2 linked regions of the Mytilus edulis genome follow. The protein of the gene in region 2 purifies or fractionates together with the protein of the main gene of each other region. This does not show direct contact. Links are inferred from orthologs where the notes say so. Each region holds a gene or a part of one and is shown on either strand. Other genes may lie near its edges. The genes, in order: dihydrolipoyllysine-residue acetyltransferase component of pyruvate dehydrogenase complex-like; pyruvate dehydrogenase E1 component subunit beta, mitochondrial-like.

The links.
Region 1: the proteins of pyruvate dehydrogenase E1 component subunit beta, mitochondrial-like (region 2) and dihydrolipoyllysine-residue acetyltransferase component of pyruvate dehydrogenase complex-like purify together in Homo sapiens (affinity purification with mass spectrometry; 4 studies listed by BioGRID and IntAct, counting the BioPlex papers as one, with this or other methods). This does not show direct contact. The link is inferred for Mytilus edulis from reciprocal best matches to the Homo sapiens genes PDHB and PDHX.

The regions. Positions count from the first base shown.
Region 1 is NC_092350.1:78,628,439-78,640,854, reverse strand, and holds the start of dihydrolipoyllysine-residue acetyltransferase component of pyruvate dehydrogenase complex-like, read right to left. Parts: upstream 5,282-12,416; 5' UTR 5,190-5,281; coding exon 5,051-5,189; intron 1-5,050.
Region 2 is NC_092344.1:86,488,295-86,500,507, reverse strand, and holds the start of pyruvate dehydrogenase E1 component subunit beta, mitochondrial-like, read right to left. Parts: upstream 4,595-12,213; 5' UTR 4,502-4,594; coding exon 4,469-4,501; intron 620-4,468; coding exon 557-619; intron 1-556. UniProt on the Homo sapiens protein: The pyruvate dehydrogenase complex catalyzes the overall conversion of pyruvate to acetyl-CoA and CO(2), and thereby links the glycolytic pathway to the tricarboxylic cycle.

The sequences.
Region 1 (12,416 bases), on a different chromosome or scaffold from region 2:
AACTTCCTGTTTCAAATTTTGTTTTTGTATTTCTTCGAGTAATCTAACGAAAATGATTAAGTCGACATATTCTGCTGCTCTATGATGACAACATCATCTACCGAGAATAGAGAATGATAACGAGAAGGGCATGAAATAATCGAGTTACGAGTAAAACGCCTTGTCCTTGAACGCAAATTACAGTGTTTTTTACTTTATTTATACAATGACTGTGCGTCAGGAAATTTGGACTGAATGATATCCAAAGCGCAAGAATTGTAGAACAAATTGGAACAAAAAACATGACTGGATTAAAGAAATTGACACAAGCACGAACTTGTTTGATTTATGACCGTATATTGAGAAAAAAAAGTCGACAAACACGCATTTTAATTATAACAAGCCCTTATATTTAGTACCCATGGCTGTTGTTTTTGTTGACAAACAGCAAACACCCTCTGTAACTGTCCCAATACCCTCAATTTAGTCATTAAACAACAACTACTTTTTGGTTAAGTTCATGTTTTACATCATAATTACTTTCAACACTTGAGTTTAAATTTTATTCTGTACTCATAATACTTGTGTTGCATACAATTGTACCAATGCATTTTATTGATTTTATGGGGACTACAAACCATTGCTTAGAAAGCAAAATACATTTGGTGTAGGTATAGTCCAACTGAAGAGAGCATTTCTCTTCTTTTTGATGTATACTATAAATAGGTTTCTAAAGCGGCAATTACATGTATAACAGTGGTTGCCAATCAGGGATTTTTATTTAAGAATTTAAAAAATAGTGTAGGATTCCTTATACAGCATGTATATACATTATACAACTTGTTTTCCACTAGCATATACTCCGCGGTATGAAGAACTCGTGACGAGGGTTTCATATGAAATAAAATTTAAAAAATAAAATCCTCCCACCCGCCTCATTTTTTTCAAAAATTTGGATGAAAATCTACTAATTAATTTTAGTTGGCCTAAAGTTATGGTGCAAAAACCAAAAATAATGCTTATTTGGGCCCCTTTTTGGCCCCTAATTCATAAACTGTTGTGACCTCAACTCCAAAAATCAATCCCAACCTTCCTTTTGTGGTCATAAACCTTGTGTTAAAATTTCATTGATTTCTATTTACTTATACTAAAGTTATTGTGCGAAAACCAAGAATAATGCTTATTTGGGCCCTTTTTTGGCCCTTAATTCCTAAACTGTTGGAACCAAAACTCCCAAAATCAATCCCAACCTTCCTTTTGTGGTCATAAACCTTGTGTCAAAATTTCATAGATTTCTATTCACTTAAACTAAAGTTATTGTGCGAAAACCAAGAATAATGCTTATTTGGGCCCTTTTTGGCCCCTAATTCATAAACTGTTGTGACCTCAACTCCAAAAATCAATCCCAACCTTCCTTTTGTGGTCATAAACCTTGTGTTAAAATTTCATTGATTTCTATTTACTTATACTAAAGTTATTGTGCGAAAACCAAGAATAATGCTTATTTGGGCCCTTTTTTGGCCCTTATTCCTAAACTGTTGGGACCAAAACTCCCAAAATCAAACCCAACCTTCCTTTTATGGTCATAAACCTTGTGTTTAAATTTCATAGATTTCTATTTACTTATACTAAAGTTATGGTGCGAAAACCAAGAATAATGCTTATTTGGGCCCTTTTTTGGCCCTTAATTCCTAAACTGTTGGAACCAAAACTCCCAAAATCAATCCCAACCTTCCTTTTGTGGTCATAAACCTTGTGTCAAAATTTCATAGATTTCTATTCACTTAAACTAAAGTTATAGTGCGAAAACCAAGAAAATGCTTATTTGGGCCCTTTTTGGCCCCTAATTCCTAAAATGTTGGGACCAAAACTCCCAAAATCAATCCCAACCTTCCTTTTGTGGTCATAAACCTTGTGTTAAAATTTCCTTGATTTCTATTCACTTTTACTAAAGTTAGAGTGCGAAAACTAAAAGTATTCGGACGACGACGACGACGACGACGACGACGCCAACGTGATAGCAATATACGACCAAAAAATTAAAATTTTTGCGGTCGTATAAAAATTGACTATAAAGGGTAATACATGTAACTCCTAAAGGGTTCAACTGACCATTTCGTTCATGGTGACTTATTCGTAAATCTTACTTTGCTGAACATTATTGCTGTTTACAGTTTATCTCTATCTATAATAATATTCAAGATAACCCAAAACAGCAAAATTTCCTTAAAATTACCAATTCAGGGGCAGCAACCCAACAACGGGTTGTCCAATTCATCTGAAAAATTCAGGGCAGATAGATCTTGACCTGATAAACAATTTTACCAGACGTAAAGTGATGAGAAAAGCTCACTTGGCCCTTCGGGCCATGTGAGCTTAAAAGTGTCGGATTCAAATGATATGAATATTACATGAATGATGCAAACCAATATAAATTTGCATTTATGCATTACAATACATGTATCTTTCATGTTTCTTGTGCAGTTAAGTGCCACTTTTCCCTTTCTTTTTCTTAGATTTTAAACGACTTCATGTACTTTTTCCAAAAAACTTATTTTCTTCCTGTTATATTTAAACAATATTAATATTTTAAGCCCTTCAATGAGACATCGCATAACACAAAACAAAACAATGGTAAAATTGCGAGATCAACATTTGCATGAAAAGTTTAAATATTAAATGTCCAAAATCAGTGTTGTCCTATTGGCAAGAAGCTGACAGATACGCTAAGGATGGCAGAGATGGATTCAGTTTTATTCTATTATGATAACTTTACTTTGTCGCTCAAAACCACTGGCAAATGTGTATAGGATATCATATAAAGCACCAGCACTTGTATCCGACGTTAAATTGTAAATTCATTTACCGTAGACAACTTCAGAGGAGATACATCAGATACAAAGAAATGCGATGGATGCGATTTGCAGCACTGTCAGTGTCCTTCCTGAAATGTTGTGCAGAGTGTTAAAAAACTGTACTTGTCAAGAAAGGAGCAAATTTAGTGTTGAAGAGTTTCTACAAACACCCAGAGATTGAAATTGCAATCTTTCTTGAACTGTCTTATCTAACAACTTGCTATATTATTCTTTGTAACAACTCGATTTTTGCAATACAAATATTGCCTCGCCAGAAAACATTTGGCTCGCTCACCCCCATTGTATGAACTCGTATTTTGAAAGGTATTTATCTACTCATCCGCTCTCACAACTAGAAATTCATAACTGCTGAATCTTAACAATTTGGACAAGAAAACTTTTGGTGAATGAGAATTGGCTTGCTCACTGTTGTATGAATATGTACTTGGAAAATCATGTATTGCCACGCTCTCTCTCACATTGATGCACTCTCATGAAACATTGCAACTTCATACCGTTAGCAGCTAGTAGATTTCATGAATGTTCAAACTCGTATTTCGAAAGACATCGCATCGCCCGTACAATTGACTAGAGAACAATCATTTGGTGAATTTGGCTCGCACACCCCTGTTACATGAACTCATATTTCCAAAGACATTCATAACCTCGCCCGCTCTCACAACTCGCCCATGATTTCTGTTGGTGCTCAATTAACAACTTGGAGTAGAGAACTTTTTGTGAAGGATATTTGGTTTGTCCCCCCCCCCCCTTTTATGTGAACTCGCGAACTCACATTTGATAATCAAAATTTGACAGTTCTGTTATGGAATTGTAGCGACATACTAGATTTCACCGAAGATTGATTAACTAGCCCACAAGAATTATTGGGTATGAACTGACTCTCTTAATAAATAAGTTATACCTATAATTTATGTTTAAACATATTTTTTACTAATCTGTTGATACATTATAACTGTATTTTGGACATGTTCTTATACTTAACAGGTTTTTTTCTTGGGGGGGGGGGGGGTGGGGGAGGGGCATACAGAATTTATCATCTTAAAAAAAAAAAGAACCCATGATATTTTTCTATCTTTATGTTTTTTGCCGATTGCTCTCTATTTTGTAAACCCCATTCGAATTCTCTCAACACTTTTTAAGGATACATTTATAATTGCATGACACTATTACAGTAATTGGTCATGTTTTCGTACGTTGTACAATACTGATTATAAATATTATCAAATTTGTTTCGTTCACGAAATCCCTAAAACAAAGAATCGGCACATATATTTGCAATAAAATGGCATGAAAAAATTGTTTGTCAACTGAGGATAAACGCATGATAAAAGTGATGGATTAGGAACATTATTTTAAACTATATATTAATGGGGTAAGAAGTTACTTTCATTCATATTTAGGTTGTTCCTAATAATTTTATTTGTTTTGGCAGTGGATTATTAATTTAAATTTTTGCTACGAGAAAAAAAGACAGATTTTATAAGACTGCGGTTCAACATTGATAGTATTAGTAAAAAAAAAATATCCGATAAAAAACGTTGAATGTAAATGATATGAACATGCCGAGTCTTTATATTATAGGACTAGGATATGTGAAAGTCGTTTTTACTTTCCATTAGAATCCTTCCTGCTTTGATACTGATACTGTGATAGACATGATTATATTGCTTTTCCCGGCTGACCTGAGAATCTGTCCCACTTGAACTATTGACGTCTTACAACAATCACTTTTTCATTGTGGCTTCAGATATATTATATTGTGACATCAAAATTTTAAGGGAACCTGTGCTATGTAATGGCGGACAAATAGGGCTATGGATGGTGTTTTGCCACTATTGATGTAGGTCTAGTGGTACCTTGCGAGCTAGTACATACTGGCTTGACCTTTTTCAAAACGGGGGCTATTCCACATCATTTCCAGCTTTGTACTGAATTACACTTTCGTTATTTTTTAACATAAATAAATCATTCAAAATCAGTATCACATGTCAGACAGTTAAATGACTTAATACTTAACTGAGAACTGTCAAGCACAGGGGCTTGTTACAATTGCCGGGTTTACTATCCATACGAACCCCTAATTTTTAGGGGTTCGTATGGATAGTAAACCCGGCAATTGTAACAAGCCCCTGTGTGTCAAGGGCAAATCTGACACTAACTTTAACATGTTGATAAATATACTTATAAAAAATCACCTTGGTCTGCACATTTTGTAAACAATGTTCTTGCTATATAGTGCCCATTTTCTGTTATTTTATTAGGTTCCTTCAGGCCTGTTGACAATAAATGTTTAGAAAATCGTCTGCCAAATCTGACAATGCCAGAAGCAGCCATAGTCTTGTCAAAGTAGAGTTTAGTAAACTCATATAGTGTTCCTTTTTCTCAAACGCATAAATGACTATAACTTCAACGGAATGGAATATGACAACTCGCCCCATTTAAAAAAAGCGTCACTTCAAGTTCCCGATTATTCATAATCCCCGTTAAAGTTAGAACAGACCCGAGACACACCAATGACGCTAGAATAAAAAAGATGAAAAAAAATCGAAGTTGAAAAGTTTATTGAAATTCCGAAAGGTTATGCAAAATAATTTTGTGTAACAATATTCATAGGTACTTAGGAACAGGTCTGGATCATTTGTATTATAAGAACATACATATAATACAAATAACTTCTATTTGCTATTTACTATCAATTCCAAGTCTACTTTTCACAGAGTTCACTGATCTTTTTACGTCCAAGATTATAATACCGAAAAACGCCGAAAATAATATTGAAATGAAAACAAAATATTAACCGATTTTGGGAAAAAGGAGGAAGGCAAAAACAAATGGTCCTTTCCACATGTACCTATGAAATAAACAAAGGACTACTAGCCGTGAGTAACTCGTACCAGCTCCAGACCTCAATTAAAATGATTGAACGCCGATTATGTCTTCATAACATGAAAATCAAGCGTGCCACAATCCCTCCCGTTAACTTATGGGTTTAGTATCATGCCATTATCAAATGTTATATGAGAATAAACCAGATGAACGTCCTTCCAGGAATAACAACGAAAAAGCATTCAGAATACTATCATTCAAAACAACAGTTCGGAAGGAGTCGTTCTATCCTAGAACAATAAAGGGTGGAACACCTTGCCCAACTGTAAAGTCTCAGCCCCGATTCCGGAATCTTTCAAGGCTCAGCTCCGTCAGTAAATTAAATTGACGTGTTTTTATTTGCAACTGACGTGTACATATAAATTTCACCTAGTTTTTGTTTTTGTTAAATTAAAAATTTATTCATGCGCACACTCAATAAATGTGGCAGGATAGTCAACCAGTTGATGGTGGCCGCTTACTGAAAGAAGAAGAAGAACATATCCCGTATCATGATAACAGCTGGTTTCAGAATGCAAAGACCCTTGGTGTATGAATCAATATTAATACCAGATATACCATCTTTAACGACCTGACAACAGTATTGTAACTATCTCCCTTCTGGATACAAAAAAGATAGAGAAAATTCAAAAGAGAGCACTAAGGTTCATCTATGAAGACCATTCAGCAAGTTATGAAGATCTACTTTGCAAATCAAAATTACCATCTTTAAAAATAAGAAGAATGCGATCTTTGGCGATTGGAGTTTTCAAAATTATAAATAAAGATTGTCCTGTATATCTCCATGATTTGATTCACTTAAAGGAAAACACTTACTCTTTCAGATACCAGAATACAGCAGATCTACCACATGTAAGAACAACTGCATATGGCCTACAATCTTTCAGGTATGCGGGTGCTAGGCTTTGGAATGAGCTGCCAGATGAGCTTCGTAAGCAATCATCTTTAAAGCAATTCAAGAACTTGATAAATTCTTGGTCTGGCAGCTCATGCCAATGCTTTGCCTGCAAAAACAGTTAATCTCTGTTCATATTTTTTGGTTTGTTGCTTTATTTTCAGCATGGCAAATTTATTTTGTTATCTTTACTATAGTGCTTCTGTTGCTTTGTGCTAATTTTAGAAACTTTATGTGCTTTTAATGTGCTTTCTATGTGCAAACCATTTTATTTGTGCTTTTGTTTTTTATCTCATAATTGCATGTATCAGTATGTGTTTAACTTATAAGATGCTTAACGAACTTTTGTGCTGCATGGTTATATACTGATATGAACTCTTGCCTTATATGTTTAATGTTGTGTGCATGACTCGATATGTATGTTTTGTTTTACTTGTTGGTATGTCGGTTTCAAAAGCTCTTCAGAGCTTATGTTTGTAATTGCTTGCCTATACCGACTCTAAATAAAGCTTTATGTCTTATGTCTTATGTCTGGATAAGTCTGCTTATCGGTTTGGTTATAGCTTTTGAGTTGAATGTTGACCATGCCAAGAAATTGCCTCCGTTGAAATTCTGCAAATATCCCATAGAGCAAATTACATGCATGATAAATATTGACCATTTGGTATATGCGGCGTTTTGCATTTGCGCCGATTTGCATTTCATTTGCGCCATAGAGCAAATTACATGCATGATAAATATTGACCATTTGGTATATGCGGCGTTTTGCATTTGCGCCGATCTGCATTTCATTTGCGCCGATTTTTTCTTTCATTTGCGCCGATTTTTTTTCTTCATTTGCGCCGATTTTTTTTACAGGTAAATTACAGGTGAATATATATTAAAAAAATGTGGTATGAGTGCCAATGAGACAACTCTCCATCCAAGTCATGTTATTTTTCATTCATCATTATAGACCTCTTCCGTTAGCCACCTGTACAAATGTAATGAATTGTCAATCATAACATGTATATAACTGTTGTCCCCTGCTTACCATCGGGAGGTGGAAGAGGACCTACAAGATACATGTCCAGACTTTGTCCTTGACCGTACCCGTAGTTCTTAAGCCTCTGTCTTTCGGTCAACTGCCACATGGTTATGCTCGTTCTGTTCTATTTTGACAATAGTCAGACCATCATAATCCGTGGTGACTCTGGCTTTACACGATTTTTATGCTACTTTGTAAAATACGTTGCTTTGTTTCAGGACACTGACCTTCCGATGATCAAAGAATTGACTCTTTGGTGAGTGTCAGTGAGCATATGTCCATCATGTTACAACGAAGTTTCAGAACAATATGAATCAAAAATAACTTAAAAATAAGTGAACAAAATTTATAACCAGATTTTACCAATGGTATAGTACATGTACAACTATTAATTTACCTGTAAATCTAATTAGGAGCAAATATAAAATCGGAGCAAATGAAAGAATGAAAATTTAAAAAATCGGCGCAAATGTCATACGCCCGGTATATGGCCGTGTTGCAATTAGCGACACGTACATTAAGGTAATAAATTAGTTTGTTGAATGAAATCAAATCTTTAAATACTTATGGGTGCCGTAGGAGGTCCACAGGAATTTTTAGCTAGGATTTCTTAGAATGTTTTTGTTTTATTCAAACATCACACATAATGTTCTTGCATAAGGCGAAAAAGATAATCCTGAAAGCCTTTTTGATGACAAATTATGAAGGGGAAAATTACGAACTCAGTGTAAACGGGGACATTTTGACAGTTTTTTAACCTGCGTTTATTAATGCTTCAGACAAAAGATTTCATTATGAATTTATTTTGTAGATGTATCATTATTTACGATATAGTTCCACCATCCATATCGAATCATAGAAAAATAAGGTGCAATTTGGGTACCGGCCGTGACGTTATGTATTGTTCACAGTTGACACATTGTTGTCTTATTTGAAAGGTAACAGGTTGTCTTTGCTTCTCTGTTCGTTTTCTCTCCTATATAAAAAGCATCCCTGCGCAGTATATATAAAACAGAGAAACTGGTTTCAGTTTGCGAAAAATAATAGAATAACATATGTTTAGAGTATTTATTCTCTTTATACAAATTCTTTCTCTGTATGCTTGAAATATTTGTCACTGGACGTTACACAATCAATCAATCTTTTAATCGGTAAATTTCCTTTAGTTATAAAACAACGAAATTTAAAAAATCGGTACAACTTTAAAAAAAATGTTTATTATCACCCCCTCGAAACAGACAATACATCTATCTAAAAGGTTTTTCGGCTAGCTATCCACCGAAAATTTCCTGGAAAGAACACTGGTTACAATTGACTCTTTCGTGTTTGTAAACTTCATTGTGAATTTACAGTGACAAATACATTTTCTTACAATTGTTTTGAATGTATATCCTATGTAGCTACATTTTGTACAAGACGAGACTTGCGTCTGGTATACCAAAATTATATCTACAACATACTCAAAGTTGTTCCTTTTTCTGCGACACAATACCAGTTAACATTGCTTATTTCGTGAATAAGTCTTTAATATATGAGGCCCCTCATGGGGGGGGGGGGGTCCTAGTAATCACATAATCACCATTTTTTTGCCAATATAATCACATAATCATTAAATATTTGCTTATCTTTAGTAATCAAATAATCATAAACTAAAAATACAGTCCTAGGTAATCAAATAATCATGAAATATTTGGCTTAATAATCAAATAATCATTAAAAAAACGGCCAAGTAATCACATAATCAAAAACCCCATGAGGGCCCTCATATATGATTCATTATGTTTACACCCCATTGGTTACTGGGGGTAGAAGTATGGTCACTTGGTCTCCTTCCGACTAGCAGTAAAACGCTTGTCAAAGTGGGAGTGTCCGTTTGGCTGTGTGTGATGTATCAAATTTGCATCCACGTCCGGTCACAATGGGGAAGTTTAATCTGATGGCTCGTGTAGAGTGCCACGTTCATTGCGCGTTAAGAACCTATGCAACAAGTCTTTAGGGGTCCGTAGGTGGCCTGTTGCAAGGCAAAATTTCTGTCCCTATCTAATATACCCTCATTTTCCAGTGGCAGTCCAAATTTTCCCGACCATCGTCCCGGATGGCCTCTATTACAAACCTACCTATTGTATTTATTGTTAACTTGTTCTCGTCCTGAACATGCATGTAATATTTGACACTAGACGTTAAGCAACCAACAATCAATTAATCAATTCATTATGTTACAGTTTTAAATACTAAGTAACACTTTTTAGGGAGCTACCATTTGATTTTTATGGGGGGGGGGGGGCTAGGATGAAAAATGTTGTCCTGCAATTTTTTTTAGTTGTAATCTCTGTCCTGTCTTTTTATTTTTCACTCTATTTGGTCCTGCCTTTTTTTTTTTTTAGTTTATCCTGACTTTTTTTACCTAAATTGTCATCCTGACTTTTTTTTTGCAAGTTTCTCATCCTGCCTTTTTTTTACTCAAAATTCCTGTCCTGCCTATTTTTTTCAAATTTCATCCTAGCCCCCCCCCCCCCCCCCCCCCCCCCCCATAAAAATCAAATGGTAGCTGCCTTATGGAGACTTTTATTAGTGATTAGACTTGACAATCGGGCATCAATATTTCTACACACCTGGCACATCTTTCTATACCAATTGTGCAATAAGTCCATTTCTGCCAAACTTCGTGCATTGCTTTCCCGCTGAAACTAAACATTTGATGGCTTAAAGCCACCTTTTTTTTTGAATTGTAAATATTATTTTCTTCACATTTTGGCAAAAAGTCACTGGCAACATTTTGAGATACTGAGCCTGGAAAGCAAACGTCTTTAATAACATTTTCTTGAATACAATTGTCCTGTATATGAGTCCATGTTGGACATTCATTTATAATTGGACAGCCAGTCTAATTGGGTAAAATTGGAAAAAAAAACATGGAATATTAAAAGCAACTAGTTATAACTAACATACATCCTTGGTTAAAGAATTCACTGTGTTTAATTAAATAACATACATAGTCTTTCATTCGCTGAACTCTAGACGAGGAATATTTGCCCTATCAAGGAAAGGTGGACGAAGAGTTCATTATAAAAAAAGATGAGCCCCAAAGGGTCAGGCCAGGTATTGCTATGATACTTTTGATTAATCATCCAAAAACTATTAAAATTTTAATCTTCAGCAAAATCTTTCTTGCCAACTAAAACCAAAGTTTTATATTTGAAGGTACCTCACTCACAAAATTATTTTGGTGTTTAATAGTTGCAGGGGTCAAATGTATTATGGTTACATGAAAGTGAATATATATGTAGGACTCAAATCTATGTTGGGTTCCAAATCTATGGCCAATGTGATGTCATGCCATCCCTTATCTATGGCAGATTTTTTACAATCCTAATCTATGGCAAGTTTTGTAATTTCCTAATCTATGGGAGATTTAATTACACGTTTTCCAAATCTATTGCAAATGTTGTGCAAATAGAAAATAATGCAGTACCACCAATGATTTGTCTAAAACAAGTGGACATGTACGACAACGGAAGTATGTCTATAAACATTTGTGAAATAAACATTCTATAATAATACGCCCACTCTGACGTTGAGTATTCATACACTAACATGTCTGAACGTTGTTTTGTTAATATAAAAAGTTCTTTGAGCCTTATTTTTGATAGAAATTTATTTATAATGAATGGCAATAATTTATTTTGATTTTATTGAACCATAAAACTAATTTTTGACTCTTCACATTTTACATAATCCGCTTCACAGATTATTCAATGTGAAGAGTCAAAAATTAGTTTTATAATTCAATAAATTCAAAATAGATAATAGCCATTCATTAAATGGTCAACCAAATCGTGATGGTAAAAATAAAATGTAAATGATGAATTAATATACCTTATTACAGACTTCAATATTGAAATGATGTGCCCTGTAAAAATAAACATTTTCTAATCTTTGCATGTTACCTGTTTAACCCATTCTTTAAACCAACTAATTTAGTAAGTCCCTTAACAAACAAGAAGGTTTTAATTTTTATAAAACAGAAATGATAAATAAAAATGAACAGTTTCAATTTTCAAGTAATATTTATTTCTTCGTTATTAAATGCATCTTTTTTTATTTAATGAGGATTTAAATCAAATTGATATCCAGTTTTGTATCTTTCACTTTATAAACTTTGCCAGCTGTAGACTGTAAAATGTTTTCTATAACTCCTTTCTTCAAAAAATTGATGAAACAAGAATGTGTCCATAGTAGACGAATGCCCCACTCGCACTATCATTTTCTATGTTCAGTGGACTGTGAAATTGGGGTCAAAACTTTAATTTGGAATTAAAATTTGAAAGATCATATCATAGGGAACATGTGTACTAAGTTTCAAGTTGATGTAACTTTAACTTCATCAAAAACTACCTTGACCAAAAACTTTAACCTGAACTTCACACTATTATTTTCTATGTTCAGTGGACCATGAAATTGGGGTCAAAACTATAATTTGGCATTAAAATTAGAAAGATCATATCATGGGGAACATGTGTACTAAGTTTAAGTTGATTGGACTTCAACTTCTTCAAAAACTACCTTGACCAAAAACTTTAACCTGAAGAGAACGGACGCACAGACGGACGAACGAACGGACGAACGAACGGAGGCACAGACCAGAAAACATAATGCCCCTCTACTATTGTAGGCATAAAAAGCAGTGCCGTTGTACATCACAGGCTTCGGCACGTACAGCTCATTTCGTCTGCCTTCCTGATACTAGTGATAG
Region 2 (12,213 bases):
CCAATTACTCTCAAATCTTTTGTTTGAGTGACAACGTCTTTATTCTTTTGTGCTTTGTATTATTCTAATGAGTTAAAGCTCTTTTCAACTGATTTTTATAGTAATGTTGAGCTGCGTCACCACTGTCCAAGATTAGCGGTGTGGGTTAGGGCTTACAAACATGTTAGGAGTCTGTAATTTGGTGGTTGTCTTTTGTTGCTGTACATTTGTATATCCTATTTCTTTTTGTTCATGGTTTTGTTAATAAAAAAGTAACCCCTGCTAAACATATGTGGTAAAAAGGAAGCTGATGTGTGATGGATGTAAGACCACTGCTGGGTTTATTTTCTAATTTGGATTTAAAATATACTATTCTACCACTCTTCTGACACGCTTAGCCACAGACCCAGCAGCCCAGACATGTAAAATTGCTTTGACTTTGAGGTCCGTAAAAATCATCTCTACAAGTTAAGCTAACAGAATCTAACTGAACTTTCCCAAATTTGAGCTCTGTGCCTGCTGATTTAAAAGTTTTTCATGAAGACTGTTCTACACAAATGACTTAATGTAAATTTACCTGAGATCCAGCTCTAACTGTCGTTGTGGAAAACTGTTTATTGAAACTTTTCAATGGCACTTTCTGTAATTGTAAATCAAAATGCTCAGACCCAAATTAAAATACTGTTTATTTTTTTCAAAGCCAACCTACACAATGGTCCTTTGGCCAAAAAATATACACTTTTGCATGTTAAAAAAATTCAGAAAAATTTTACGCTGATACATTTTTGTATATATACATGAGGTAATTTGAACATGCAATTGCATGATGATAGGTTTATGATTTTCAATGTTTGACAAGTTCTACACTCAATTTGCATACATCTTCTTATAAAAAATTTGAGAAATCACTCCAGCAGAAATTGGATTTGTAGTCAAATAAGAAAGCTCTCAAAACTTACTTTTTGAATGATTTTTTTGCAATGCAATAAAATACTTAAGGTTTTGCATAAAACTTGGTGTCAGTTTGTGCAGGAAACAAGCATATATATGTAAGTATAATTGGAAAAGACAGATAATGAAATTCACAGTAGAGTGTCATTTCACAAATTGCCAAAATTTGCCATTTCCCAGTAAGAAGACGAAATAATTTCATGAATTTACAGTTGGCCTACTTGGAAGCCTGCTACAAAAGGTTCTGATAACAGAAATAAGCATGTCATACATCTTTTTGTTGATTATTTCATGTCCATGTAGATTTTTCATAGAGAAGTGCATGTTGTTATGGTACAGCCATCTGTGGCATCAGAAGTTTCTCATGTATAAATGCTGTATATTACACAAAACAATCTGGATATTGCATAATTTTTTTTATCGTACAAGTTTTCATCTGTACCACTTTGTAGTGTTACAAGTTGACCTTTCGTTGTAAGAGTTATCTAAAGCTTATTACCAATGGACCAATCCCCTTTTCAAAAAAGATATGGTACTAATGCATTTTTATGAGGGTAGTAATGGGGTACCTTCATGACGAATAATGGTAAAAATTCTTGCCAATTGATGTTAACGATAATTTTTGGTGCATGACGGTAATATGTACTTTTATTTCAGGGATTGAACTTGAGACTTTGGTAATTGTAGCCCACAGCTTAAATTTTGTAGCCCTGATATACAGTCCTATACAAGATAAGCAGAAATTTAAGTAGCCCACACCAAATATTAGGGCCATTGGCGAGCAGGCCCCTGCTAATTTCAAACCCTGTAATTAGACGATAAAAAAAATCGAATGATTTTGACGAATCACATTTATTGATTCCAAAAATAATGGCAATGATAATTATTTGGGACCTCTGACAAATCACGATAAGGATATTTTGACGAATCACAGTAAAATTTTAATCCATTTGACGCTAACAGTAGTCGAAAATGACTATTTGACACCTAACATTAAATAATGTGCCCTTGAATCAAAGCTAGGACATAATAAATTAAGTGAGTAATCATAGTTTTGTTACGATAATACAGACAGCATGTTAATTAGCTTTTGAATCATAAATGTAACTGTTTAAACTGATTACAGTGAGCATGTAAAAACAATTATAAATGTTGTAACTGTAAGTGTTACAGCAAGCAGTATAATGCATAAAGTTGCCGTCAGCTGAAATTTGTAGCGGTTATCGGTAAAAATAATCTAAACTATCAACCACGTTTACTCATGATATAGTTTTTCACATTCCATTCATGAATCGCCAAAAGAAAAACCACTACTGACCTACCTTTTAAGTGATTGCACTGTGATAATCCTGACCTTCACATTTTCCAAGACGATTTTGAATGGTGGAATCAGGCATTGTTTTACAGGAATTGTTTCTGTGGAGTTCAAGTTCTGAAAATTTGCATAAAGCGCGGGAAATGTTGTCACATCAATGAAATGAATATTACAGGAAACTCCGAAAGTGACGAATTTCACATGTAATCAAAGGATTATCCTCATAGAACGAAGATGGCGGAATTACAATGAAAAACATTCTGGAAAATGTGAAGGTCAGGATTATTACAGTGTGATCACTTATAAGGTAGGTCAGTAGTGGTTTTTCTTTTGACGATTTATTACAATTACAATATTTTTTTTATTTTCCAAATTAAAGGGCCCATTAAGAGCATAACATTAATTACAACATGACATAAACATTACAGAGTGATTAAAGAAACATAAAATAATAATTGAAATTCAAATGCATGAAGAAAGGATCAGTGGTCAAGGGGAGATAATTATGATATATTTTAGAGTATTTAACTAATTTTCTGATTTTCTTAGTTGCAGGCCTTTATCCAGGTATGCACATAAAATAGATAAAAATCAGCTATCTTCATTAATCATGATCCATGAAAAAAGATCATTTATATTTAAACTATCTAAACTGGGGTATTTTTTTATATAATCAGTGATATCTCTTCTGAGGTTATTGTAAATTGGGCATTCCAGAAGAAAGTGCATTTCATTTTCAATACAATTTGTATTACAATATAAACATATCCTCTCATGTCGAGGTAATATTTCATATTTACCACATACATTGGTAATTCGTTCATGTCTGCCAGTTTCTATTCTTAAACAGTGATTGCTAAGTCTGTATTTTGTTAACAAATGTTTTTGTGGGTGCTTTAAATCTAAATAATTTTCATAGTCAAATGACCTTTTGAATGAAAAATAAGTGTCCAATTTGCCTTGATTCTGTAAATAAAAATCTCGCATTTTCTCCCAATCATTTTGAAAATTTAATTTGAGCTGTTTTTTCAATACAGTGGAGTCCCCGGTGTCCGCGCGGCCCGTGTTATCGCGCATTAGCTGATTTCGTCATATCAACACAGTAACACATACAAAATCGTTCTTGTTAATGTTTTAGCCTTCCGAAGGGATAAAAAAGAATAAAATTGATAAGTTCAAGAATTAATTAATAACTGAAATCCTGTGATTTACCATATTTGGCCAATTTCCATTAAAAAAATTACATCATCAGATAAAATTGGTTTTATTTAATTCAAATTAATATCAGATTGAAATAATTTTTGCTCTGCATCCTTGGAAGTGTGTTTGGTACAAACTCAGCTATATTTTGTAGTGTAAAATCTTTCCTTTATTCCAAATAAGCTATTTTTGGAAGGCATGTGCGAAATCACCGGACATTGGAGGAACTCTCAGAACAGGGGTTTCCTTAATTTTGGACACACATTACACAAAATCTAGAGGATGAAACCATACAAACAGAAGATTTTATGAAATAAAAGTATATTATGAATGTGTTCACACAAAATTATCCAATTATTGGTTTTATCAGTTGAATGAAGTGAAGTCATAAGTCTTATGTGTGCGGATACACCGGACTGCACTGTAAGTTTTTAAATTAATTTTTTCCTAGATTTTTACATATATTTAGGTCAATATCCAATTTTTCACTGTAGAAAATGATATTAGAGAGCCATGAATTATTGGAACTAGTTTGACCTTTACTTTCCATCATTTTTTTACTCAGCATAAGCATTTTTCAATAAATTAGATGGAAATTTCTCTAGTCTATGCCAATACATAAACATATGTGTTAGCAAATTTATATAAAGAGGATATCTACGAGTGAACGCGATTGATAGTTTAGATTTTTTTTTACCAATAACTGCTACAAATTTCAGCTGATGGCAACTATAGTTACAGATCTTTTCTATCAGTATCATCACACATGATCAATCTATTTCATCTGACTATTTTTCACATTTTATCAACACTAGAGTGTGGTATTTCATTTTGTGTTTAGTAGAAACGGTCGGAAAAGTGTCAAAGTGAAAATAACGACGAGTTCACTGTAAATGTATGTTTCTGAAAACACCCAGACACCTTCAGAATGAAACCAACAAGTATCTTCCCTGACCGAAATGTTTGATCAATTTTTCTAGCATTTCGTCAGCCCAAGATACATTTTCTACTCATTAAACATACTCGCACAATTCGTTGAACTACAGCGGATGCCATATTGGATCACAGTAACCTTCACGCGATGTTCCACTGAAGAAAAAAAATCTGGATTCGTCTAAATACCTAACCAGAATATTTTCAACCGTTGTTTTCCACCAATCTCCCATCGCTCATCGAAGAGCTATCAGCCGATAGAGGGCGCATAATATAAAATACAGTCAGCCTAGTTTGATATTCTATAATTAAATAATTTATGGGAAGACTGCAGCATGATTTTATGTTTCTGCCCCCTTTTAAATTTCCAAAATATGGTCTCTTACCCTTGATAATTAAGCTTTTCCCAGATTTAAATGAAATGAAGATATAACTGAGGGTTTGGATGGGGTTAAATGTTGTAAAATGATTAAAGAATAATGCCCTTAAAAAATGAAGATTTTTTTAGCTAGAGAATAACCGGCAAAAAAATTGAAGATTAGAGACAAAAGGCGTTAATTTTTTGAAGATTAGAGAAAAAAGGGTTTAATTTTTTAAAGATTAGAGAAATAAGGGGTGAAAATTTAATGTTTACAGAATAACAGACCCCCCCCCCCCCCCCCCCCCCCCCCCCACATCTAGACCCGCATGACTACAAAAAAACTGCTATATTGAAAAAAGTAGATTTTTGGATAAAACCGTGTGTTACTGTTAGAGTGGGGTGCTCATTTTCGCCGGGGACACAATTTCGCCGTTTAAGGATTTTGAGGTGTAAAACCTTCAAAGGATGGCTGAAATGGAAGAAATGTACCCGTAAATTATATTTTTATAACAAATATAATATTTTTTTAAACTGAGACAAAATTGCGGGTCCTACCGAAAATGACCGAAAAAACGGACAACGATTTTCTGACAATTTCCTGAATAAAAAACGATTTCAAAGAAGTATTTCTAAGTAAATATTTGACTGAATGCCCTAATTTTGAATTTTTTATACCTTTGAAATGTCTGCTATTCATCTATAATGCAATTGATTTGATAAAAATTGTTAAAAGCTGCGGTTATTTGGTTTTAAATAGATGTGTAAAAACGGCGAATATGTGTCCCCCATTGACAAAACATCCGGAAATTTCAAACACCCTTTAATCTAACTTTTCAGATGATTTTCTTAAAACAAACCGGTTTTCAAGCTTAAGTATATTTTGCATTTGAAGTTATCTTCATATAGAAATATCAGTATACTTCAAAAACATTTAGACCTGAACATAAACTGTAGAAAACATGGAAAGATGTGGCGAAAATGAGCACCCCACTCTAGATCTACATTTACGCAATTCATGGTCACCAATTTGACTCAAATTTTCATATTTTATTTATAACAATGCAAAACATTTATCCAAACTATCAAAAGTGTGAAATAAACAGTTTACAGAGCATATGGTAACATAAATATTGTTATGTTTATCTTTTTAATACTGGTTAATGAAATCATTACAGTGTACTGGCTGGTCATTATCGCGTATGATACGATTTTGACACGCCTACATAGCTAATAAATATTCATGACTTTATAGACAAAGAACAGCACGTGTAGCCATAAATACTGGGAGTTGTAGATTTGTAGTATAACTGTACATATGTAGTTTTGAAGAATATAGAATATTTACAAAAATATAGTTATTAATTATTAGTATCCGAGCAAGTAAAACACGGATCTATCAATATACTAATGATTAGATATAAATATATTAAGCCAACACGTGCAGTTGGATTTTTATAGGTCTGTTTAATTTTATTTTATAGGATAAAAATGTATGTTTCTCCTCGTTTTTTAATGTAGAAGAAAGATTGTTAGTGGATCGAATCAGTCATCAAATGATTTGCATTTGTTTCACTTTCAATGTTGACATTCCTTTCCTTCAAATAAACAGTACATGTACAAAGCATGCGTTGTCCATCTCTAGTCAAGGGGTTAAATTGAAGTTCACATGAATACGGATTTAATGAGGTCGACTCAGTAATTATTCACTTGCAAGTGAATACTTCATTATCAATATTATTAAGCTTAATTTGACCAAGGAGGTTATCTATAATACTAAAATTACGAGGTCCAATTTGTCAGCCATCATCACGTAAAAACGACGAATCAAAGAATTCAACTTTATATATAACTAATATAGTACAAAGGTGTAGATTAAAAATTACACCACTCCAAGCCCTTTTGTTTTCCACGTAATTAATATTGCCAATAATTAAGAAGTTCCGGGTCGAATCCGATACCGATACCAATACCAATAGTATATTCACCTGTTACCGATTACCTTATCTGTACGTTCCACATCTGACAGGCGCACCACCAAACGGTGTATTCAGGATTAATATGCACATATAGTAATTACACGGGTCATAATCACAGGGTTGACACTACTTAATTGTCAAATTTTATTTATAACTAATATAGGACAATGCTGTTGATTAAAAAATACTCCATTCCAGGACCTTTTGTTTTCCAAATAATTAATATTATCAATAATTGATAAGTTCCAGTTCGACGGGTTCAAACAGAAAGATTTAAAAGCAGAGAAAACTGTGTATCTTATAATCGGCATGACTTTATCAGATGACAATACTAATACTAAAATAAGGCTTGCGCATAGTTATATACTTTAATTCAGTCACGGACCCGCGATATCACGGGTGTGTTCTAGTATGTTCTAATATAACCTCCTAGATTTGACAAAATTGTTCCATTTTGACTGCTAAAAGAGAATTATTTTATTATTTCACTTTTATTATTGATTGAACAAAAACAAATCATACTTTAGATTTTTATACATCTCGTAGCTAGTGTCCCTTTAAAAATTGTGAAAGTAATCAACTAATGTCTAGTCGAGATTCACGTTGATAGTAAACATGCATATTTAAAGTAAAAATATGGTATATTAGTATATATATGGTACAAATAAGTGATATATTAAAAAATCTGAGATTTATGATAATAAGGGGGATGGAATATGGGGTGCTCATAACAGGATCCTGTCCTCAAGCAACTATGGTTGAAACTGGGGGAAACAGTGTTATCATTTTCAGACTCAAGATACTTTATGATCGTAACGATATTTTTCATATTATTGTTACACTTCCATGTAACCATAGCCAGTGCCAAGAACAAATCTATCAAATTCAAAATTCAAAATCAAAATTCATCACATGGAGGTAGAAAATATACATACAGCCAGTCTATCATATTTGACGTCACAAATTCATTCCCGTGCATGAATGGTATATTTGAAGGAACTTCCTCAATCCTCAATCGTATGGCCTTTAGGCATAACGGTTCTAATTGATACATATTAAAACCTACGTGGATTCTCCTTGTAATTTTCTCCATGTACTTTAATTTTGTTCTTGCTGTTACGATTGGGGTTGCAGATGTTCTGGTAAGTCAAAACGTCCGTGTTTTTATTTGCAATAAAGTCCCGGAAACGATTTCTAACTTCCGTTTATATTTTCCTGTGCTTTCTTGGTCTACTGACTAAATCTTGCTAGTAGGGTGGCTGTGTTTATATTGCGTATTCCTATTTCCTATGTTATTTGTCGGTTAATAACTTATGCTTCGTTCACGCGTACATTTAATTCGAATTGAATGCGAATCGAATTCGCTAATCGCGTTCACACACTCTTCTTTTTGAATTCGAATTGATTCGAATTGACTAATTCCAATTCGCATTAGAAATACGCTTTTGTTAATACGAATAAAAAGTTAACGTCGTTTGGACAGTAAAGCGAATTCGACGCGCATTGTAATATAAATTAGAATTGACGTTAGGACGTAATGCGAATTAAACTAATTCGAATTAGTTAATGCGAATCGAATTCGAATAACGTGTGAACTCAGCATTAAGGGGACGACCATTTGATATTCTAGGGGTGGGTGGGGAGGATTTTGAAAATAAATAACTCAGCCTTGATAATCACAAAAATAAATGGTTTGTTCTGTGGTAGTTTGAAAATAAATTACCTGACTTGCAATGTATTGAAAATAAATAAGTCAACAGGTCTAGTCGAAAGTATGAGTTGGCACCAGATTCATCATAAATTCATCTTTTTTAAAAAAAAAATCGCCTTCGTCAAACACTGCCTAAATTGTTTAATAATAAAAGTATAAATATTATTTAAATATACTTGAAATGTCTGTAAATTGGCTTCATTTAACTTGAGGTATGTTTTCTCAGCAACACTTTAATACCTCACTTTTAACAGGGCCGTAACTACATTTTGTACATTAAGGCAAATGCCTCATGTAGAAAATTTCAAAACCAAACGCTTGTCTCCATATCAAATTGTTTTCACGTCGAGTGCCTTGCAAGAAGCAAGTTCTGTTATCCCTAAAACGTAGCCCCTGATTTTTCAGGATCAATGTTTCTTATTTATTTGTCTTTTGTTCATTGATTGCCCTTCTGTATTCTGTTAGTGTTGCATTCCTTTTGTTATATAGTAATTTTGTTATTAACTTGATCATGAGTTTAAAAAACAGAAGCCTTCAGTGGCTCAAAAACCCTTTAAAAAAAAATTGCCTCGCTCCGCTCGGCCTATAATGTTTTGCCAATACTTTTTAAATAGGCTAGATACACTCAATCTTCAATATAGTGTCTGGAAGCAATACATGTATATGCAGTTGGGAATATAGAAGATTCATTTCTGCAGAGGAGAATGATTAATTCTGATTAAATGGTACATCATGATGACTTAACTATACATGTATTATTTATAATTTATAAACAAATAATTTAAAAATTGGATGTTTTCGAATATTATAAATATAGTTGTAAAAATAAATAATCAGTCCCTTGCTTTAATGAAAATAAAAAATCTTGCTTCAATAGTGCAGAAAATAGATAACATGTCCTCTTAGTTTACAAAAATAAATAACCGATCAAAAACAAATCCTCCTGCCCCTCCACCCCCACCCCCCCCCCCCCAGAATATCAAATGGTCGTCCCCTAACTTGCTAAGATTAAGTTGAAATATCATTTCCCGGTGACAAGATAATATAAAACCTAAACTACTCAACGAACTGGCCACAGAAATAGCCCCAATCCTTACAATCATTTTCAAAACATCAACAGAACTGGGGATGTACCAAATGACTGGAGAAATGCGAACATAACACCAGTATTCAAGAATGGAGAAAGATATAAAGCAGAAAACTATATACTAATCTCTCTAACTTGTATCTGCTGCAAACTAATAGAGCATATAGTTACAAGTCATATAATGAAACATGCTGATCAACATCAAATCCTCTATCCGTTACAACATGGTTTCCGTAGTAAACGCTCGTGTGAAACCCAACTAATCGAATTCGTGGATGACATCACTAAAAATATGAGTGCAGGTAAACAGACAGATGTTCTTATAATGGATTTCTCAAAGGCATTTATCAAAGTCGATCATAGTCTCACAAACTAGAACATTACGGTATCGGTGGTAAAACCAATAGATGGATTGCTAGCTTCTGATCCCATCGAACGCAAGCAGTAGTAGTGGATGGAGAGAGCTCATAACATATTGATGTAGAATCTGGAGTTCCCCAAGGCTCTGTACTTGGTCCTGCATTATTCTTGTTCTACATCAACGACATGCCAGATGGGATCAAATCCTGCTGGTGAAACAATAGCATATCTTACCATCTCATCTGACAAAGATTCAAACGACCCCCAGAGCGACCTAGACAAACTGGGAACATGGAAAGTCAAATGGAAAATGTCCTTCCATCCGGACAAATGCAATGTTCTTACCATCAGCCGCAAAAACAACACCATTCCAACTTCGTACATATTGCATGGTCACAAACTTGAACCTGTCAAAAGTGCTAAATACCTTGGTTGCACCTTCACATCCGAACTGAAGTGGAATGATCATATCAATAACATATGCAATAAAGCCAATAAGACAATAGGCTCCCTTAAGAGAAATCTAAACATAGGAGCAACCTCAGTCAAAGAAAATGCATACAAAAGCCTCGCAATACCAGTAATAGAGTATGCAAGTCAAGTATGGGACCCATACTTTAAAACCGAAATAGATCGTCTAGAAATGATCCAGAGACGAGCAGCAAGATATGTTTCCAACATACACCATAATCACTCAAGTATCAGCAAAATGATTGAGCACCTGGATTAATTGACCATCTCTGGAAAAAAAGGCGAAAAGACGCTAGGCTAAATATGCTCTATAAAATAGAACACAACAAAGTGGCTGTAACTAAGGAAGGTCGTTTTATGCAACCAACACGACTGTCGAGGAACATGCACGACAAAAGTGTCTAAATATTTCAAACATCATAATGACTAAATTTTTGTTTGATTACAAACCATATAGTAAATTGTGAAACAAGTCAGAGCACAAAGATTTAGTATTAATTTTACTCTAGCGTTCAGCTACATGCTGCTTGAATTCGAAAAGTGACTTCTTCTACAACATAAAAATGCAACAGAGATGAGGTATTGTACTCAGTATTGTTGGCACTTTATAAACGCATTTTGACTAAATTAAAACTCTGATAAATCCATGTATATGCATCGAAAAGTTTACTGATGCCATATGAGTAAAAGATAAAGTCAAAGTCCAAATTCCCTTGAAGTTCTAAGGCTTTATTTATAGACGAAATCAGTATACAGAAAACATTAGCTCTAAAGCTATTGAGCTTTTATACCGTCTTATAATTACAAACAAAACATTTAAAACAAAACAAGCATGCTACACACACAAGACTGAGCTACACACACAAGACTGATCTACACACAAAAATAATCATTACATTGAAGCATACATTACGATATAGATGACACGAATAAATTAAATATGTTAAACTATGCAGAACTATTAAAAGTACATGCATAAACAATCAATAATGCCAACATACAAAGCACTTTAAAACACATTAGCAATTATAGCAATCTAATTAAAAACCGATCTCTCATCGATCCTGTTTCTGATATGTCGCGTGGGAGATCTAACGAAACCGGCTTTGAGGTCACATGTGAGTGAACTAAAAGTTATGAATTTATAAAGATATGCAAATGAGTTGACGACCTATTAATAAGCCAATCAAAAAAGTTTATGAATTATTTTGACTGACGATTTCGTCGTAAATAAAATGAGTTACATCCCTTTGCCTTACGTTAAACTTCCAAGATCGTGGAAGACTCAATTCCATTGGTCGAAAAAGACACACCTACGAGGTCACTCACATGTGACCTCAAAGCGGGTTTCGTTAGATCTCCCACGCGACATATCAGAAACAGGAGCGATGAGATATCGGTTTTTAATTAGATTGCAATTATAGCACATCAAGCAGAAAAAAAGCACTAAAAAGTATAGCATTAATAATGTGCGGGTATTGCATCGACATAAGGTACCACTTTAGGCGACAATAAATTTAGAAAATTGTTTAATTTTTTTTTATCTCTAAAACTTGGGGTAGTTCATTCCAAATTTTGCAGCTATGTATCTAAACGAATTGAAGCCATGTATATAGCTGTTGTTCTCCGTGACCTGGGGCTGTTCAACTGTTTTTTTTATTAACCAAATCATTTGAATATGATGGACTCTTTTTGTGTATAATTTAAAAAAAATCTATATAGCTATTGCTCGTAATATTCTGACCGTAAGAGATGAAAGTTTTGACTTGTGTAGAAAATCTTCATATTTTACCATATTCACCCGGGAGAGGGAACTGGTCGAAATGTAGTTGGGATCAAGATTTTTTTTTCTGTAAGTGGAACTTGAAG